Linked DNA regions of Caenorhabditis elegans. The protein of the gene in region 1 purifies or fractionates together with the protein of each later gene. This does not show direct contact. Each region holds a gene or a part of one and is shown in the gene's direction. Other genes may lie near its edges. The genes, in order: sart-3, lsm-5, lsm-4 and snr-7.

Evidence for each region.
Region 2: the proteins of sart-3 (region 1) and lsm-5 purify together in Caenorhabditis elegans (affinity purification with mass spectrometry, with the first as the bait; one study listed by BioGRID). This does not show direct contact.
Region 3: the proteins of sart-3 (region 1) and lsm-4 purify together in Caenorhabditis elegans (affinity purification with mass spectrometry, with the first as the bait; one study listed by BioGRID). This does not show direct contact.
Region 4: the proteins of sart-3 (region 1) and snr-7 purify together in Caenorhabditis elegans (affinity purification with mass spectrometry, with the first as the bait; one study listed by BioGRID). This does not show direct contact.

Annotation. Positions count from the first base shown.
Region 1 is NC_003282.8:11,328,617-11,335,774, reverse strand, and holds sart-3 (Spliceosome associated factor 3, U4/U6 recycling protein), read left to right. Parts: upstream 1-2,882; 5' UTR 2,883-2,903; coding exon 2,904-2,987; intron 2,988-3,037; coding exon 3,038-3,186; intron 3,187-3,236; coding exon 3,237-3,405; intron 3,406-3,446; coding exon 3,447-3,543; intron 3,544-3,587; coding exon 3,588-3,985; intron 3,986-4,133; coding exon 4,134-4,282; intron 4,283-4,341; coding exon 4,342-4,943; intron 4,944-4,990; coding exon 4,991-5,328; intron 5,329-5,385; coding exon 5,386-5,499; intron 5,500-5,548; coding exon 5,549-5,843; intron 5,844-5,895; coding exon 5,896-6,011; 3' UTR 6,012-6,293; downstream 6,294-7,158. Other genes in the region: F54E12.2 (Transcription termination factor 2), read left to right, coding at 1-350, 407-1,408, 1,459-1,571, 1,617-1,962, 2,010-2,321, 2,377-2,533; leo-1 (RNA polymerase-associated protein LEO1), read left to right, coding at 6,406-6,461, 6,509-6,905, 6,953-7,126. UniProt on the Caenorhabditis elegans protein: U6 snRNP-binding protein that functions as a recycling factor of the splicing machinery. Promotes the initial reassembly of U4 and U6 snRNPs following their ejection from the spliceosome during its maturation.
Region 2 is NC_003283.11:15,568,099-15,571,950, forward strand, and holds lsm-5 (U6 snRNA-associated Sm-like protein LSm5), read left to right. Parts: upstream 1-2,281; coding exon 2,282-2,557; downstream 2,558-3,852. Other genes in the region: acs-2 (Medium-chain acyl-CoA ligase ACSF2, mitochondrial), read left to right, coding at 1-606, 651-1,026, 1,259-1,375, 1,423-1,587; fbxa-95 (F-box domain-containing protein), read left to right, coding at 3,391-3,488, 3,548-3,631, 3,681-3,852.
Region 3 is NC_003280.10:7,250,789-7,255,155, reverse strand, and holds lsm-4 (putative U6 snRNA-associated Sm-like protein LSm4), read left to right. Parts: upstream 1-1,992; 5' UTR 1,993-2,054; coding exon 2,055-2,060; intron 2,061-2,102; coding exon 2,103-2,243; intron 2,244-2,474; coding exon 2,475-2,552; intron 2,553-2,560; coding exon of another isoform or gene 2,561-2,594; exon of another isoform or gene 2,595-2,602; coding exon 2,603-2,749; 3' UTR 2,750-2,924; downstream 2,925-4,367. Other genes in the region: ada-2 (SANT domain-containing protein), read right to left, coding at 1-451, 509-737, 788-1,061, 1,107-1,567, 1,624-1,736, 2,561-2,594; prx-13 (Peroxisomal membrane protein PEX13), read left to right, coding at 3,153-3,206, 3,258-3,340, 3,806-4,073, 4,128-4,266. UniProt on the Caenorhabditis elegans protein: Plays a role in pre-mRNA splicing as component of the U4/U6-U5 tri-snRNP complex that is involved in spliceosome assembly, and as component of the precatalytic spliceosome (spliceosome B complex).
Region 4 is NC_003279.8:2,724,629-2,728,749, forward strand, and holds snr-7 (putative small nuclear ribonucleoprotein G), read left to right. Parts: upstream 1-2,385; 5' UTR 2,386-2,389; coding exon 2,390-2,518; intron 2,519-2,571; coding exon 2,572-2,676; 3' UTR 2,677-2,754; downstream 2,755-4,121. Other genes in the region: Y71F9B.6 (Cyclin N-terminal domain-containing protein), read right to left, coding at 599-773, 1,130-1,279, 1,358-1,442, 1,511-1,638, 1,690-1,847, 1,901-2,023. UniProt on the Caenorhabditis elegans protein: Plays a role in pre-mRNA splicing as a core component of the spliceosomal U1, U2, U4 and U5 small nuclear ribonucleoproteins (snRNPs), the building blocks of the spliceosome.

The DNA of each region.
Region 1 (7,158 bases):
AGACGGGTAATTAAACAATTTCAAGAGCTTGATGATGAAGTGGAGAGAAGAAAAGAAATGGGACTTGCTGAAGAGATCGTCGACGATGATGAGGATGATGAAATCTTCGTGATTGAAGATGATGAACCGAGTCATCGACAGGTGGCTCCAAAGTTCCCTTCCGGATCTGTCATGACTCAAAATGGTTTGTTGCCAAAAAGACATATCGTGGATCCTCTCAAAGCTCCTCAGCCAGACTTCAATGCCATGTTGGAGAAGGACAACAAGAAAATGATGTCTGGAAAGATGACCGATGAAAAATACAAACGCATACAACTCGTTTCTGATCGAGTAGTTCGACAACTTGCTGAGTAAGTCTTGTTTAACTTTTTCTCGAAGCTGTGTGAAAATGTGTATCCTCTTTCAGGGCCACTCACACAATCCCCGATGAAACTGAGCTCACGGACACTCCGAAAGGATTCAAACTTGAACTGATGCCACATCAAAAGGCAGGCCTAACCTGGATGCGTTGGAGAGAAACTCAACCACAGCCTGGTGGAATTCTTGCGGATGATATGGGTTTAGGAAAGACGCTTTCGATGATTTCTCTCATCGCCCATCAAAAAGCTGCTCGTAGAGCTCGCAGAGAAGATGGAAATGACGATAAAGACAAAGAAAAACGTAAAGTGGTAAAAGAGCAAGGACTAATTCCGTCGAATGGAACATTGATTGTTGCTCCTGCAAGTTTGATTCATCAATGGGATGCTGAAATCGATAGAAGACTAGATGACAGCGTTCTATCGACATACATGTTTCATGGCACAAAAAAGCAGAGGGACATCGATGCAAGACGTCTTGCTCGATACGATGTCGTCATCACCACGTTCAATCTTATCGCAAATGAATTAATCGAAAAAATAAGGACTAAATCAAAAGCAGATGATTCATCTGACGGTGAATCGGATTCAAATCATACTGGAATTCGTAGAGCAGTTGGAAAAGACGACTCCGTTCTTGCTCAGATCTGTTGGTCTCGAGTCATTCTTGACGAGGCGCATACCATCAAAAATCGGCAGTCTCTTGCTTCGAAAGCTGTCTGTCGTTTATCAGCATTCTCTCGATGGTGCCTTTCTGGAACTCCGATCCATAACAATCTCTGGGATCTTTACAGTCTCGTTCGATTCTTGCGTATTCGTCCATTCAGTGACGATAAATATTGGAAAGAATCGATCATGCCAATGAAACCAATAATGGCTGATCGCGTAAATTTGCTCACAAAGAACCTGCTTCTTCGTCGTACAAAGGATCAAACATGTGCTGTGACAAACCAGAAACTAGTTCAGTTACCACCGAAAAATGTAGAAGTCCACGAATTGGAGTTGGACGGAGATGAAGCACAGGCTTATGAGATTATGATGGAGGCTGCCAAGTGAGTGACTCACTTGTAACATTGGCGAAAATCATAAAACAAATTTTCAGAAAATTCGTCAAAAAACTTCTGCAAGATTCCAATGATATGAAAAATCATGGATTTATTCCTCGTCGCAATAGAAGAGCAGGAAAGGAAGGAGAAGTTCAGAATCCTTTCAATTGTAAGAATCTGTGATGTTTAAAAAATTAATATTGAATATTTTCAGTTGGTCCACGTGATTTGGCAGCCGGCTCGAACTTCGAAAAGATGTCATGTGTTTTGATGCTTCTTCTTCGTCTTCGACAAGCTTGTGTTCATTTCAATATCACAAAAACAGGAGTCGACATGGACGCTTTCAGCTTAATCGGTGGAGACAATGCGGAGGAAGCGAATGTGGACGATTTGAATGAGTTACTGGAGAAAACTATGAACATGACGTTGGGAAATGGTGACAATGAAGAAAGAGACAAACCGAGGGCTACAACACGAATTTTCGATCCGGACTACCTGAGCTGTAAAATTAAAAATACACTTGAAATTGTTGAGAACATTATGGAGAAGAAAGAGAAAGTGTATGTTTTCACCAAGTTGAAAATAAATTCAAATTTATGTTTTTCAGTGTCATTGTTTCTCAATGGACATCGGTTCTCAATTTGATCGAAATTCACATAAAATCAAGTGGTTTCAAATATACATCAATTACCGGACAAGTTCTGGTCAAGGATCGTCAAGAGAGAGTGGACAGCTTTAATCGGGAGAAAGGTGGTGCTCGAGTTATGCTTCTCTCTCTGGCCGCGGGAGGTGTTGGGCTCAATCTGACAGGTGGAAATCATTTAGTGATGGTGGATTTGCATTGGAATCCGGCTCTCGAACAGCAAGCTTTCGATAGAATTTATCGAATGGGGCAGAAGAAGGATGTTTTCATTCATAGGTTCGTTGATTGCGGCAAGAAAATTAAATTCATAATATGTGTGTTAATCTTGCAGATTGGTTACGAAAGGAACGATCGAACAACGAGTTGTAATGCTGCAAAAGGACAAAGTCGCGCTAGCTTCGTCTGTTCTCGACGGAAATGCTACTCGCAAGATGAACAAATTGACGACGGCAGATATCAAGATGCTGTTCGGATTGAATGAAAAATAATCTTCAAAACTATTATTCCAGCCTTTATGTACAATATTATCATTCCTCACCCGCACACATTTCATTTCTGTTGTAAATATTCATTCAGCTTATGGATTGCAAAATTTTATTTATTGCATAAGTATTACCCGTGATTATTTCTATAAAGCTTGCATGGATTTGAATTTTTTGTTGTTTTTTTATCAGTTTGATTCTGGCTAACTATATTTTAATACGGAGAGAAAATATTTTTTCTTCTAAAAAATCCGTTTCTTTCGCGCTCTATCGCACTTTTGCATTCGAAACGTTATTTCCGTGCTTTTTCTGCACTGTTTCTCTCTTATTTTAATATTTATTGTTTTTGTATCAGTTTCCATCAAAATTCTGCAAGATGTCCGATGTGGATATGGAATCCGGCTCGGATGATTCCGGAATGGAGGATCTGGATGAAGAAATTCAAAAAATCAAGCAAAAGGTATGAACTAATTATCGAATATACTTCATATACACAAAATACAATTTCAGATGATCGACGATAGTCAAAGTGTCGTTCTTGCAAACCAATTATTGATTTTATTGCGAAAAAATGGTGACTTCGACGAGCTTGATATCAAAAGGAGGCAATTTGTCGAATGGGCCCCACTTAATCCATTAAATTGGAAAAACTGGATTGAGTAAGTTAAAAAAAATAGGTTAATTATAATTTTTTAAAAACTGATTTCAGAGATTTTCAAAACAGAAAACCGGAGCCAAGTGTCGCAGAAGTCGAGGAAATGTTTGAAAAAGCTCTGTTTGATGAGAACGATGTCACTATTTGGGTCGAAAGAGCAATGTACGCATATAAGGTTGCGAACGACAAAAACAAAAAAGAGGATTTCAAGTTTTGCCGAGATGTAAGTTTTGATTGAAAAATGTAATTATTATAATTTTACAGGTTTGTAGCAAAGCTCTTGAAAACCTTGGAACTCGGTACGATTCTGGAGGGCACATTTGGCTGATTTTTCTGGAATATGAAATGAGCTACCTGAAAAGTGAGCTTACTACTGTACTTTCATCAACAATTTATAATTTTCAGATTCTATGAATGCTCCTGACTATCAACGACTCGCTGATCAAGTTTTCGCTCTGTTCGAGAGAGCCCTTCATTGCCCAACAGATCAGCTCGAAGATGTTTATGTTTTAGCTGAACAATTCTGCACAGAATTCAAACAACATCATAAACTCGAAGAACTGAAAAAGACATATAATTCAACAATGCGACAGAAGGAACAATTGTCAAAGTTCGAGGAGCTCATTCAACAGGAAGAAACCAAAAAGCAAGGTCTGAAACAGTTTTTTGATCACGAGAAGAAGAGTGGAATTCCTAGTAGAATAAAAATGGCTCACGAGAGGCTTGTTTCTGAGTTGGACGATGACGAGGAAGCTTGGATTGCATATGGAGCATGGGCAGATATTGAACTTAAATTGCCACAGGTAAGGAAATACTTTTTATTATAGAATTATCGGAAATATCCAGAGGTCTGTCTAGAGATTATAATTATCTTTAAGATTCGAAAAAAATATTGTTGAATATTATTATTTTACTAAAGCTTCCATTGGATTATTGAATTATTTTGTTCAGGTTGCTGTAAAAGTGTACTCTCGAGCTCTGCGTCATTGTCCATACAGTTTTGTTCTCCATCAACAAGCTCTTCTCGCCTTCGAACGAGATCGTCGGCCAAATGAGGAAATTGATGCATTATGGGAACGAGCAAGAAGCAATGTTATCAAGTTAGTTTCTTTTTTGAATACATACAGTAGTCTTATATATTTATTCGGTGTAATTTCAGTTCTGCCGAAGAAGGACGGAGTCTTTACCGTACCTATGCTTTTTTGCTTCGCCGTCGAATTCATCTCACTGGTTCTTCGGATTACTCTCCAATGGCTGAAGTGTTTGATGAAGGTGCAGCGCTACTCAGAGAATGGTTTTCAATGGCTTGGGATACTACAGCAGATTATCGACAAATGCAAGCATATTTCTATGCTTCATTAATGAAGAACATGGACAAATGTCGAAATATCTGGAATGATATTCTTGCATCAGGATTCGGAAGATTTGCCGGAAAATGGATTGAAGCTGTTCGTCTTGAGCGACAATTCGGTGATAAAGAAAATGCTCGAAAATATCTAAACAAAGCTCTCAATTCTGTATCGGATAACATCAACGAAATCTATATGTACTATGTTCAATTTGAAAGAGAAGAAGGAACATTGGCTGAGTTGGATTTGGTTCTTGAGAAAGTGAATTCACAGGTTGCTCATCGAGCCATTCGACCACAAAAGAAAGTTTCTGAGAAACCAGCTCCAGCTCCTAAATCAAAGCAAGATCATATTCAGAAGAGAACGTCGGGAGGTGAACCAATTGTAAAAAAAGTGAAAGGAGACGACGGAGGTAAATAATTTTTAAAAGTAAAGAAGTTAATTTGAATTAAATTTTAGGATTCAAAGCTCCACTTCCACCATCCAATGCGAAAAGTTCATCAGCTGTATCCTCTTCAAATGCTTCGTCGACACCAGCTCCAGGTTCCTTTGCAGTTCAGAAAGCAGCTCCAGGAACGGAAGATGCTCGCACAATTTTTGTTTCTAATCTCGATTTCACTACGACGGAAGACGAAATTCGACAAGCCATTGAAGGTGTTGCTTCAATTCGATTCGCAAGAAAAGCGAATTCGGATCTTGTGCACAGAGGGTTCGCCTATGTTGTAATGGAGAATGATCAGAAGGCACAGCAAGCTCTCTTGAAAGATCGAGTTCCTGTGAAGGGAAGGCCAATGTTTGTAAGTTTTAATTTTACTTTATAAATATTTGTGAAATTTTAATTTCTGAAAATTCAGATCTCCGCCAACGATCCAGAAAAACGGGTTGGATTCAAATTCTCAACCACTCTTGAAAAATCGAAAGTCTTCGTTCGCAATGTCCACTTCCAGGCAACCGACGATGAGTTAAAGGTAATATATACTTATCTATCATTTTATATTCTAAATCGATACATTTCAGGCATTATTCTCGAAATTCGGTACAGTAACCAGTGTTCGACGCGTGACTCATAAAGATGGAAAACCAAAAGGAATCGCATTCGTAGATTTTGACACAGAAGCAAGTGCTCAAAAATGTGTTGCTTCTGGTGATAAATTGATGCTTCGAGAAAGAGAACTAGAGGTAGCGTTATCCAATCCACCAGTAAAAAAGGATAAATCGCATGGAAAACCAGCAGCAATTGGAGCAAGTTTGGAAGAAGATGGACCTAGAAAAGGACATGCTGCAAAACTGCAATTGGTTCCCAGAGCTATTAGTAAGTATATCATCTTTAGTTCCCAGCTTAGCATAAAAAAATCCATTTTCAGCAAACAAAACTCCTCAAATCACTGCTCGGCTGGACGCAATGGATGTTTCCGAAGGCACTTCAACGTCTCAGCCACTTTCAAATGATCAATTCCGTAAAATGTTTATGAAAAATTAGGGCCGTTTTTCACCAGAAACTTTCATTGTTCATATCAAGATTCATTTAGTTATTTAATTTCTATTACGTTCCCCAGTGTCTCCTTTCCAATTAAAATTCCGGTAGATGCTATTTTTGATGTTCTCGCTATAATTATATTTGTTCTTCACTACGAATTGCAAGATTTAGTTTCATAACTGTTCATAATCCTTGTTTTCTTTTTGTTTGCTAATAATTTGTAATAGAGATCCCCCAATATTCATTTTCAACTTATTGCCTATGGATAAGAAAATCTGAATTTTCAACAACTACTTTTATTATTCAATTTTTATCGGTATATTCGACCCCAAATTATTACTTTGTTTTGCTACTTTCGCTATTCAAAGAACTTAGGTATGCAATATTTTCAATTCAGATGTCATCTTCTGAGGGTAATTCTGACGCTTCTGCACCAGGAACACCAGTTAAATCGTAAGTAAATGGTAATTGTGTTTCTAAAATAATATAATTCAATTCAGATCAACTCCATCTTCTCGTGGATCGTCGCCAGATTCACCAAAAAAACAAGAACCGTCTAAGAAAAGAGCGATATTAAATGAGTCCGACGATGATGATGATTCTCGTCCTGCTCCTCGACAATTGTCCGATTCTTCTGACGATAACATTCATCCGAGAGGAGGAGGTGAAAAGAGTTCCCCCGGTGCTGGTGGTGGTTTGTTCGGTGATCTCTCTGGCTCTTCCGACGATGATTCCGACAGAGAAGGAAAGCCGAAAGAATCAAATACAAGAGCACGATTGTCAGATTCCGATGCGGAGAGTCGTGGAAGTTTGAATGATTTGCAAGGAATTGTGATGGCTAATCCAGATGAAATAGATGAAGATGAAAAAGCAAAGGAGCATGTTCATGATACTGAAGTAAACATTTTCAATGAAATAATGTGATTAAAACATTGATTTTCCAGATGGTAACAGGTCGTGTTACTTTGGAGTACGCTGCAGATCCACCACATTTTGTCAGAATGCCAAACTTTCTATCAGTCGCCACTCATCCATTTGATCCACAACATTACGAGGAAGACGAAGATGATGAGCAGGCGAAATTGGATGATGAAGGACGAACACGTCTCAAATTGAGAGTATGTCTGTGTTATAAATACATCTCATCAAA
Region 2 (3,852 bases), on another chromosome or scaffold:
CATCCCAGAGCTCCGCCACATTGTGCTCTACGGAGATGACGTCCCCGTCCACGGAGCCTGGGTCTACTCTGACTTAATCCATGCTGCTGGAAGTGCAGAACGCGCAAAGCTGGAAGACATGGATCGCAAACTTCGACCGGATGAGCCAGTAAACATGCAATTCACAAGTGGAACCACTGGTCATCCAAAAGGAGCAACTCTGACCCATTTCGGGCTGAACAACAACGCATATTTCGCAGGAATTCGCCTTGGATGGGATAGAGAGGATCACAGAATCTGTATCCCAAACCCTCTTTACCATTGCTTCGGATGTGCGGTCGGAGTGATCAACGCGGTCAATCATGGACAAACTGTGGTCTTCCCATCAAAGTCCTACCATGTTCCGGATATCTTCGAGGCTATTCAAAATGAGAAATGCACCACGATGTTCGGCACACCGACCATGTTTATTGACGTGCTCAAGTCTCCACTTATGAAGCAATTCGACATCTCATCCCTTCGAGGGGGTGTTATCGGAGGAGCCCCATGTCCGATGGCTTTGTGCGAGAAGATGGTGAAGGAGATGAGAATGACTGATTTTTCAGTGATCTATGGATCTACCGAGACGTAAGTTCTTCTTTGTCGAAATGCCATCTTACAGCTGAATTCAGATCCCCTCTAGTCACCATGTCGGAACTCCACGTGGATCCATTCGAGCGAATCAAGTCCGTCGGGTCAGTGATGCCACATCAAGAACTCGCCATTGTCGATGAATTTGGAGTCCCCGTGCCAACTGGAGCTAAAGGAGAGCTCTGGTCTCGTGGCTACTCGACTATGCTCGGCTACTGGGCCGACCACGACAAGACCAACTTGGCAATTACACGTGATCGCTGGTACAAATCTGGAGATACCGCCACGATGAACGAGGATGGAACTATCAATATTGTCGGTAGAACTCGTGACATGATTGTGAAGGGTGGTGAGAACGTCTATCCGACCGAAATCGAGCAGTTCTTGCATAAGTTGGACTATGTCGCTGATGCTCATGTAAGTTTGGGAGCTTCTATCTTTGCTCTTGGGGGTCCAATCAAAAAGTTTATTAAAATATCAAAAAGTTTATTAAAATAATCTACAGAAAATTCTCTACATTTACTCAGTTGGCAACTTTTTGATACTTGTAACAACTGGCGAGTTATTCTCGTTTAAATCAAGGGCACCATGACTACTTATGGCCTGAACTTCAAACTTATGGCCTAACTTTTCAACAAAAAAATTCCAGGTCGTCGGTGTGCCAGATGACAGGTACGGAGAGAACATCTGCGCCTGGGTGCGTCTTCGCGTTGAGGATGAAGGAAAGATCACCGCGGAGCACATTAAGAAGGCTTGTAAGAGAGGAGTAAGTTATTAATCCATTATTTTAAAATATACAGTCGAAATTTCCAGATGGCTCACTACAAGGTTCCAAAGTACGTGCTCATCAAAAAGGAGTCCGAATTCCCTCTCACAATTTCCGGAAAAGTCAAGAAATTCGAAATCCAAAAGATTTCCAAAGAGCTGTTGGGTCTCGGAACTGTCAAGTCTCACTTCACAGAAGCTGTCGACAATTAAAATCGGGTTGAACATATTTCCTATATTTTAAGTTGCCTTTTCGCTGGGATTTCCTTGCTTTTTACGGTCTAACCGCTATAATTGTAATAGTGACATATTTAACCGGGTTTTTATGTACTCTTCCGTGTATTTGCCATGTATTTAATTGTGAGACTTGTACAGAAATTGCGATTTTCTCTGAATAAATAGCTTTAAAATTCAAAATTCCCTCCAAAAGTGTACAACGACACTCCGAAATGACGCATAGTCGCCTTGCTTACCGTAAATCGACACACATTTTTTTAAAATCGAAAACATTTTTTTGTTGGATTTTCTTCGTTTTCCCTCGATTTTCTTGGAATTTTGTGAGTTTTTATTGTTAAAATATTTTAAAATTGCATTAATGGTATTGTTTTAACTGTATTTTTCATATGATTTTCGATTATTCCAGCAAAATTCTTGTAGAAACGACTTTTCATCAAAATTTTCTAAAATCGATTGGAAATTAACACGAATTTTACTGAAAATGAAATTTATGTGCAAATTACCGGTGAATTCAGCGAGAAAACATCAAAAATTCTGGAAAAATAGGCTTTGAAAAAATTTTTGTGAGGAAAAATTTTAAAAAAACTTGATAAATATCATCTTTTCCCCTCATTTTTCCTGTTTTTCAGCAATTCCTCTCAAATTTTACCCGATTTTCTTTCCAGAAACCATGGCAACCTCAACATCCACCAACCCAAACACACTTCTCCCACTGGAGCTCATTGACAAGTGCATCGGCTCGAAAATCTGGGTGATAATGAAGAACGACAAGGAGATCGTCGGCACTCTGACAGGCTTCGATGACTACGTGAACATGGTTCTGGAGGACGTCGTCGAATACGAGAACACCGCCGACGGCAAGCGAATGACCAAGTTGGACACGATTCTTCTCAACGGAAATCACATCACGATGCTCGTGCCGGGAGGAGAAGGACCAGAGATTTAATTGATATCTGTGAATATTGTGATTTTCTAATACTTTCTATTTTGCCACGAATCTCTCCGATTTTGAAATAAAAATTGAAGGAAATTTTGGAAAATTTTATAACAGGAACAAAACAGAATGAAGAAGCAAAAAGAAAACAATTTTTTTTAAATCTGTTTTTTCAGCATTTTTCTCTTTTTTTTCTTATCACTTAACAAGTACTTGTACATCTTGCAGGTCTTGTAGGATCATATTCAGCACGTGTTGAGAATAGATAGCAGCTTTCTGATGCTCTAAAAAGGCTTAATTGTTCAGATCGTCCCTGGAAATAATTTTTCGAATTCTGCTCGAGCTGAAAATACAAAAATAATCGCAGAATCGCCCAAAATACGTGAAAAAGTGAAAATACTTATCGTGTTTGATAGCAACCTTAATTTGTCCTGTTAAATGACAAAATTCTTAAGTTGAACTGTATTTATTTTAAGTTTTCTGCCAATTTTTTCCAAAAAATCAAAAAAGTTTCCCGATAGTACTGTATTTCCCAGAATACGTAAATGCGTATAATGTATCATAACTGACGCGCAACCAAATTTGTTTTTTTTTTCGAAATGTTTTTAAAGCGCCTTTCGCCGTTTTGGGATATAATTTATCATTAAACTTGTTATTTTGTTGAGGAAAAATCATTAATTAATTATTTATTGCCTGGTTTCTCGCAAATTTCAAAAAGTGGGCGTGTCCAGCCAATCAAACCTAAAATTTTTAAGCTGAGCAATAAAACAACGATGTGTTTTTTTACCGTTCCGCTGTTTTTTTCCGCAATTTCTCATTGAATTTTGTAATTTCAGAAGAAAGTAATGTCTCAAATAGCTCTCCGCGACTCTTATTCCCTATCCGTGACATCAAATGAAGCGACTGTCGTCGAAATCGTTGAAGATTTGGATTCGATGAAGCTGTAAGCGGAATAAAAGATGAAAATCAAGGATTCGAGCTCATTTTCTTTTTTTTTTATAGGTCGGGGAAGAAGCCACCATCATTTTCCGATATGCCACTCGCCGTTCTTCACAATATCTTGGATCACGTGAAGCCAATTGATCGGTAACTAGAACTGTATAAATTTTTCTATAAAAAATATGAATATTTCCAGGCTTATCGTTCGCAAAGTTTCCCGTCGCTTCCGTGACACCGTCGACGATCATGATCCTGGTTTCAAGGCAATGGTCGTTCTCACCGGTGCGCGCGAAGATGTCATCCTGAAATTCGACGACTTGTGCGTTTTTTATTGTCGAAATGGCGCCGGATGCTCCATCAAGTTCAAT
Region 3 (4,367 bases), on another chromosome or scaffold:
GTCAGGAATTGTTGAGTCATTGCCAATAGCTTCTCCTTTTCAGTACGTGAATCCATTATCTCCTGCTGGCTCACTGGACGTTTGGCTGCTGCGTAGCATGCTTCTTGGTAGAATTTCATGAATTCATTTATCTTGTCATGTTCAAGCACAGTATTTCGTTTAGCCTTCCGAATTCCGAGTAGACGAACGTAATGTCTCAAACGGGCGAACTTAATATCATTTTCCATATCGAGTCTCTGATCTTTCTGAGGTTCCGTAGCAGATATTGTGAGGCGACTGATAAGTTGTTCAGCTTCATTGAACCATTCACACTCCAATTCTTCACGTTCGTTATTGTATCCAAGAATTTTCAACTCATCACTTCTTCTCATTTTTGGACGAGTTTCCGACTTTGATACACCACTTTCATGAAGTAGACGAGGATATGCACTTCTGAGCTCTTTAACTTCTTCTAAAGAACAAATTGCGCCGAGAGTTTCTAACTTTTTTTCTCCTTGTTTCTGCTCACGGTTCATCTTTTTACGGAATTCATGCAATCTTCTATCTTTTTTCGAAACCCACATCCTCCTTCGCTTTCGTCTCTTTGAGCTCGAAGCTGTTCCTCTCTTTGGTTTTTTCTCTTCTTCTTCATCTTCTGTATCAAATTCCTGTGCAGTCTCAAAAGCGCTTGGAGGATCTTCTTCTTCTGTTTCGCGTTCCATGCCGTGGTAGGTGTCTTTATCAGAAGCTTGACTTTTCTGGAAAAAATACACATAAAACTGAATTTAGTTATTTTCCTTAAACTCACATCATCGTCCGAATCACTGCTTGATTCTCTCATAACTCGAGTAGTTTTTCTTCTCTTTGGACTCGGAGGCCCCTTTTTCCGACAACTGGAAGACGGGCCCGGCGAATTGTCATTATCACTATCATCAGTATTTATTTCCTGTTTTACTGATCGCTTCGATTTCATATCTCTTTCATTATCAGGATCACAGTCATCTGGGCTAAGCTCCGTCTCATATTGATTTGTAAGGAATTTTGGGCGCTCATACTTGGTTTCAATGTCACCATCGATTACTCTGAAGAAATTCTAAATATATGAAAAATAGGACATTTTCACTTACTTTTGCACATACTGCTCTAATACTTGTTGCACTTTTATCGCAAGTTTCGGATCGTTTTCATCCCAGCTTTCTCCAGATGCACGAACGGCGTCTCGAATCAGAAGCATTCTTTCCGTTGATTCCAAACAGTTTTTTTGTAGCACACTGTCTAATGTTTGATTTATATACATCCCATATTTAATTCGATCCCAACTTGAACTTTTTATGGAAAATTGTCCAATCCATCCACGCACGAAATGTTTTTCAAAGTAATCCTTGCAATTATGACCATCTTTTCTTCCGCGACCAATACTTTCAGCTATTTCTCCCCAATTTCCCATCTTGAATTTATGAGCAGCTTTTAACAATTCGAATTCATCTTCGTGTGTCCAGCTCATTGCTTCGGGATTACTTGTTGGCTTGACAAGCTCGTAATTGTGACCTCGGCGATGTGGTGGTGATTCCGCGCCGCATTGGAAACACTGAAATTTTAAAAATAAAATAATGTTCTTAAAAACTTCACAATCTGTCAACTCACGAGGATACAAATTCGCAGAGGACATTCAAAGCATTTGACATGAATGGTTTGGTCGACTCGTAATGTGCAGTTGAAGCATACCGGATGTTCTCCGGTATCATCAGCCATTGAACCTATAAATATTAAAATTCCTCAAATCATGTTTTAAAATAAAACTAATAATCTTGAGATGAAAACAAAGAAAAATCGATTGCAGAGGTGAACCCTGTTTTCAAATGATCATCCACCAACGACCCTCCGAAATGACGCATGGTCGCCTTGTTTAACGTAAATATTGTGTGCATTAAAATCTTTTTTTATCGGAATTTTTTGTTTCGAATTGTCTTTTCGCCGTAATTTCAGTTTAAAATCTTAATTTATTCTTTGCAGATTGTCTCACTTTAAGTTTTACTAGTGAAAAACAATCACAACCCCACTAAATCAATATAGTCATGGTGGTAAGTCGAATTAAGCTGAACTCAAATAGTGTATGATTTCAGTTGCCACTTTCTCTTCTCAAAACCGCTCAAAACCACCCGATGCTTGTGGAGTTGAAGAACGGCGAGACTTATAACGGTCACCTGAAAGCCTGCGATTCGTGGATGAATATTCATTTGGTGGATGTTATTTTCACATCAAAAGTAAGTGTTTCGTTTAATTAAATGGTTAGCCCAGGAGAAACTGGCTATTCAGAAATTTCTTTTCGTTATTATTGAAAAAAAACATAATTTTGTTTTAAACGGCTCACAGATTCTAATTTAGAAAGAACCTTTCATATTTAATTTGCATTCATATGTCAGCTCAATATTTCAAACATCTAAAACTCTCGGATTGATGCAAATTTGCGACTAACAATACATGTTAAATTACAGGACGGTGACAAGTTCTTCAAAATGTCAGAAGCGTATGTCCGGGGATCTACTATCAAGTATCTCAGAATTCCAGAAACAGTAAGTACCTGATTTTCTCTTCGACAACATAACATTTCCCATTCTTCCAGGTGGTCGATCTCGTGAAAACTGAAGTCAACGAAGTTCGTCGTCAACAGCAGCGCGAGCAATCCCGTGGTCGTGGTGGTGGACGAGGAGGACGTGGAGGACACCGCGGAGGTGGTGGAAACCGAGGCGGACGCGGAGGAGCTCGATAATTCCTGCAGTGCTTCGATTGCTGATAACAATTTCTCGTTTACTCTAAATAATTTATGTATTTGAAATTATTTTTTTACCCAAAAACCAAACCTTCCTCCGTCTCTTCTGATCTTCCCCAAGTCGGGTTGTTTCACATGTTTTGAAATTTTATTACAATAAATTGAATTATACTTCAACAATATCTTAAGATCTTTCATCTGTCCTCCCACTCTTTTACTAGACTACAATGTAGTCTAGTATGGGACGTTGTCCTTATCAACCGCCCGCTGCAGTCATTGATTGTAGTCCACAATGTGACTAACGGCAATTTCATAGTTGCCATTTCTTTTATTTTTTCTTGAATTTAATCCATTTTTCAAAATCGAATAACGACATTCCATTTATTATTACAGATAAATTATAATGTCCGCACCTCCAACAAATCAACCACCTCCGCTGCCGCCAAGGTCATTTGATGTAATTATTGATAAATTGTTTTGAAACTCCTACTAATCGATAATATTTAAGAATCAAATGTCGAATCCAATGATCAATACAGGTTTTGGTTATGGTGGAGGATATGGAATGAATACGTTTCCAGGGTCTGGAATGTAAGTTTTATTTTTTAAATATTTTTTTTTTTTTTGAATGCTCTTTCGTAAATGCTAAAATGTCTGCGCCTTTAAAGAGTACTGTAGTTTCAAACTTTCGTCGCTGCCTTATTTTCATGGATTTTTCGTAGTTTTTCCGATAAATTAATTTTAAATTCAAGTATACTAATAAAAAAGAGAGAAGAAGCATGAAAAAACGATGAAAGTCCCTCAGCAACGAGAGTTTGCTGTTACAGTACTATTTAAAGGCGCACACCTTTTCATATTTAAGAAAAATGTGTCGTTTCGAGACCGGGTACCGTATCCTTGACGCAAAATCGTAAAATATCATGTCTGGGTAATTTACCGAATAAAGTCAGTACCGAAATGATAGAGAATGGGTTACTGTATAACTCAAAGGGGCCTACGTTTCGCGCAGCCTCGATTTGAAAATATTTTGTATTAATAAAATTGTATATTGTTTAGGTATGGTGGTGGGGGAATGTATGGAGGAGGAATGGGTTACGGTGGATTTGGTGGTGGCTTCAACCATATGGGATATGGTCAAGGACCTGACAGCAATTTTGCTCGACTTGCAGAAGAACAGTCTCGAGGCGCTTTTCAATCAATCGAATCAGTTGTAAATGCAGTCTCATCTGTCGCCAACATGCTCAATTCAACTCATAATGCAGTTTATAGTTCTTTTCGAGCAGTTATTGGAGTTGTAGAGCAATTTGGAAGATTAAAGACGCAGGTGAGTTTTTTATTGAAAAAAACAAATCTGATAATAATTATTCTATTGTTCCAGTTGTCATCAGTAGTTGTTTCTTTGGCAGTTTTCCGATGGGTATATCGTTTCTGGAGATGGCTACTGGTTATGTTGAAATTGAAACCAGCAAGTTATGCAAGCGCTGCTGAAATGGCTTGGGGAACATCACAACCGTATGGTAAGTGTTCAAATTTTGTTTAGAATTGAGAAATATAGTTTGAATATCTAAAATTAGGAATAATACGATAAATAATGATTCTGACTACATTTTCGAAATAA
Region 4 (4,121 bases), on another chromosome or scaffold:
TGCAAATTTTTGATTAAAAAGCAAACAGGCGTAAAAATCAAAAAGTAACGCTTTTAAACGATTTCGAACCTGAATTAATTGATTTCACTGATTTACGCCTGTAAGAGTGCTTTTTAATTGAAAATTTGCAATCATTTTGACTTTTTCTCTAATATTCGAGCAAAAATACACCGAAAACATTAAAAATCGGTGGAAAATAACAAAAAATAAAATAAATAAATTTAAAAACGTGCAAGCGCGCTCAATCGAACAAATCCAATTGGCGGAAATTCGAATAGGAATTAGGCAAAAACTGAGATTTTTTCAATTTTCAAAAAATCATGTAAAATTTAGAACATTTTTCAAAAATTTTTTATCATGATATTCGGCCATTGTGGCCCCATAGGCATGTTTTAAAGCAATTTCCTCACTGGCGCTACTCCATCTTTAAACAGTACGAAAATCAACGATATAAAGTGAAATAAACGAGCAAAATTTGCAAAAATACGAATTTTCGCCTGCTACGACACGAAAAACTCGGTAAAATTGAAGATTTTAGCTAAAATTCGCCTTTTTTCCGCGGATTTTGAATCTTAAAATTCAAAATTCAAAGCCTCACCCTCCGCTCTTTCCTGGAAATCGAGGCGGGCGACTTGTCGAACAGCGTGAAAAACGGCGAAGGATTCCGCTTTCGGCGAATCTGCCCCAGAATTACTTGATCTTCAGCGTCTCGGAAGACAAATGGCCGCAGCTCTTCTGTTGATAAGTGAGCCTGATGCCGCATGCGATCCGAGCTGGAAAATTGGATTATAAGGTGAAATTATGGGAATTTATCGTATTTTTTCAAGATTTTGACCTAAAGGCGCACGGATTTTTAGCAAATTGCAGCGTTTTTTCTTACTTTCTGCTGAAAATTTGCGTTGTTTTCCTTTTTTTCGGTCTGAAAACTGAAAAATTTAACAAAAAAAACTACCACATGCTGTCTTTTCGCGTCGATGCACAGCTGAATAAACCCATGTGCCTTTAAGATCGCATAGCCGAAATTTCTGAATTCCTGCGCTTTTTTTGTGAAATTTTGTTAGATAATTGCCAGTTTTCGGGGAAAATTAGGTAGAAGATATAAATTATAGAGGAGATGTTAATTCTAAACCTTCCAAAAATCGATTTCGATCGGAATTTCTTCTTATTGACGGTTGTGTTGGCGAAAATCGGCGCCAGCGGATCCACGTAGTCGCTGTTCGGCGAGATATACGAGAAAACTGCCAGAGGCTGGCCATTCGTCGAGGTGCAGATGTAAAATCTGAAAATGTGGGTTAGTTCGCAACACGGAACGGTTAGTGTGGGGGATTTTAGAGGATTTTATGATGGTTGAACTCACCTATCTGCATGGGTAATGGTGCTTTTGAGCCTTCTCAGAAAACTGAACTGATTTGAAGAACAAGATGGTGATTCTGAGCGAAATTCTGTGAAAATTTTGAATTAATTTATTTTATTTCAAGTTTTGTAAGCTTTTATAAGCTCGCCAGCTCACCAATCAGCCCACTATCTTCTCTCCCGACGCCTTCTTCAAGAATCGGAGATCTACTGTTTGTGGCGGTCATTGAATAGATCACGTCGTCGGAGCTCATGATTTTCGCGATTCTTCGGAAGATTGAAGTTCTATAAATAGAGAAAATTAATTAATTATATTGATTTTCAACTAATTTTCACTTTTTCTGTGGTGTCTCCGCGTATTCCTGCGGCAAATTCGACGAGCTTAGCCGTTCTCCGAGTGAAGCGGATGTTCCGAGTGAGATCACTGATTCATTGTTGCGGATGGTGGTTGTGGAGCTTGCGCCGTTTGAAAACTTCTTTTCCGTTGGAGATATCTGAAAAAATTATCAATTAGTTACGAAAATCGCTGAAAAACCAAGATTCTCACCTTCGGAAGGCCTTTTGTTTGGAAAATTCGAAGATTTGTGTCATTGTGGCTTCCATCAACACTGATATTTGATAAGAAATTTTGTGCGACGAGAATATGATAGTTACTCTTCTTTTTTACCATCTAAAATTGGAAAAACGAAAAGAAAAAGCTCGGAAATCCGATAAGAATTGTGTGAGTACGGTGTGCAAGCGTCTGCAACTTGTCGTCATTTATGGTGTACCAAGCGTGGTGTTTGCGTACTATTCGAATTTCGAAAAATAATTTCGTCGATTTTAGCCTTTTTCATCCAATTTTCCTGATAATTATCATGTTTATTCTTTGAAAAATTAGTTAAAAAATGTTATAATTAATGTATTATCTGAATTTTCGATAGGTGGAAGTTGAAAAATGAGCTTTATTTTCTATTTTAAGTAAAATCTGTTTCTTTGATGATTTTTCCATTCTTCATTTTCATTTCCCCCTGCAAATTCTCAATTTTTCAGAAAAATGAGTAAGACACATCCACCAGAGCTCAAAAAGTACATGGACAAGGAGATGGACTTGAAGCTCAACGGAAACCGTCGCGTCTCTGGAATCCTCCGCGGTTTCGATCCATTCATGAACATGGTCATCGACGTATGTTTCTTTTTCCGTTTTTGTCTAATTTATTCTAAAATTTAATATTGCAGGAAGCTGTCGAGTACCAAAAGGACGGAGGATCCGTCAACCTCGGCATGACTGTCATTCGCGGAAACTCCGTCGTCATCATGGAGCCCAAGGAGAGAATCTCCTAGATTTTTCGATCTCCACAATTTCCTGTCACTTTCTCAATGTTTTCATTTTCAAATTTTGATATTAAATTTTTGAACCTTTTTTTTGATAATTTTTGATAACTACGTGGTCAAAACCCACTTCTCATCTCTGATTCACGTGAATTTCGTATAGATAAGAACTTCGCAAATAGAATCAATTCACAAACAAATGTACCAAAAGTTATGTTTTATTATTGCAGGCATAAAAAAAATCAATCGTAAAGCTTTTTTTCAGCATTTTGTTTTTCCACGGCTCAAATTGAACGAAATAGTGTTCATTTTGAAGAGAGGCACGAAACAGAGTAACAAAAACACGGAGAGACTTGTGTATCCCTCTTCTCTTTCCACTATGTGCGGTCGACGACGCTCTCCACATTTTTCTCTCTTTATTCTTCTCGTTACTCTTACTCGGCACAACAGCAGCAAAAAAGAATACTCTTTCCCCACTTCTTATCTCTTTTTCTGCCGACCTATTTTCTTCTTTCAAAACAGAAAAATGTTCCACACACACGCCTATCATCATCCGAAAGCTGTACGAGATGTGCTTTCTCATCTTTCCGTACTCTTGTGGCTGCAGCCGTCGAAGAGTTGAAATATCAATTTTCAAAACGCGGCAGATTCTCAGCCGGAATTCAGTGAATTCGCTTGATTTCTCGCCAAAATATAGAAATCAGACGATTTATCTGAAAATAACACCCATTTCAGTTGAAACATGCGAGAAAATGCTGAAAAATAGCCTGAATTTGCTAATTTCAGGCCATTTTTGAGCTCTTCCTCAAGTGTTTCGACTGAAATAAATGTTTGTTTTAGATAAATCAAGTGATTTTCTATAATTTCACATCAATTTTAAATGAATCAACATGTCACAATAGGTCATTTTGAAAAATTGGCGCCAATCCCCAAACCTGATCTGGATTTGAACAAGAGTTTTCTACTTCGATTTCACATTTTGCTGAGAAAAACCGAAAATTATCGATGTTCTCTTTTGAAAATTGAACGCTTTTCAGTGATAATTAGGAAAAATCACCTTTTTTCAAGTCGAATAATTTCAAAAGCTTCAGAAAATCCAATGTTTTGACTCGAATTCAGGAAAAACCGGAAGAAAATCGCGAAATAATATAAAATCCGAATAAAAAAAACGCGATTTTTTTCAATTTTGGCTGAATTCTCCACACTCCAACTGATTGATCGTTCATTTTTTAAAGGAATTTAGCCAAAATTGCAAAATCCCGATTTTAAAAATAAAAAATTAATTCTGTTATGATTCCGCGTTTTTTATTTTGTAATAATTCCCATTTACGCCGTCTTTTAAAAATGCAGACCCACAATTTTTCTGGTGAACATTTCAAATCAATTCAAATTATTTTGATCTGATCTCCGGCGCGAATCACTTGTACTTTGTTCTCTCTCCTCCCGTCTCCTCCGTG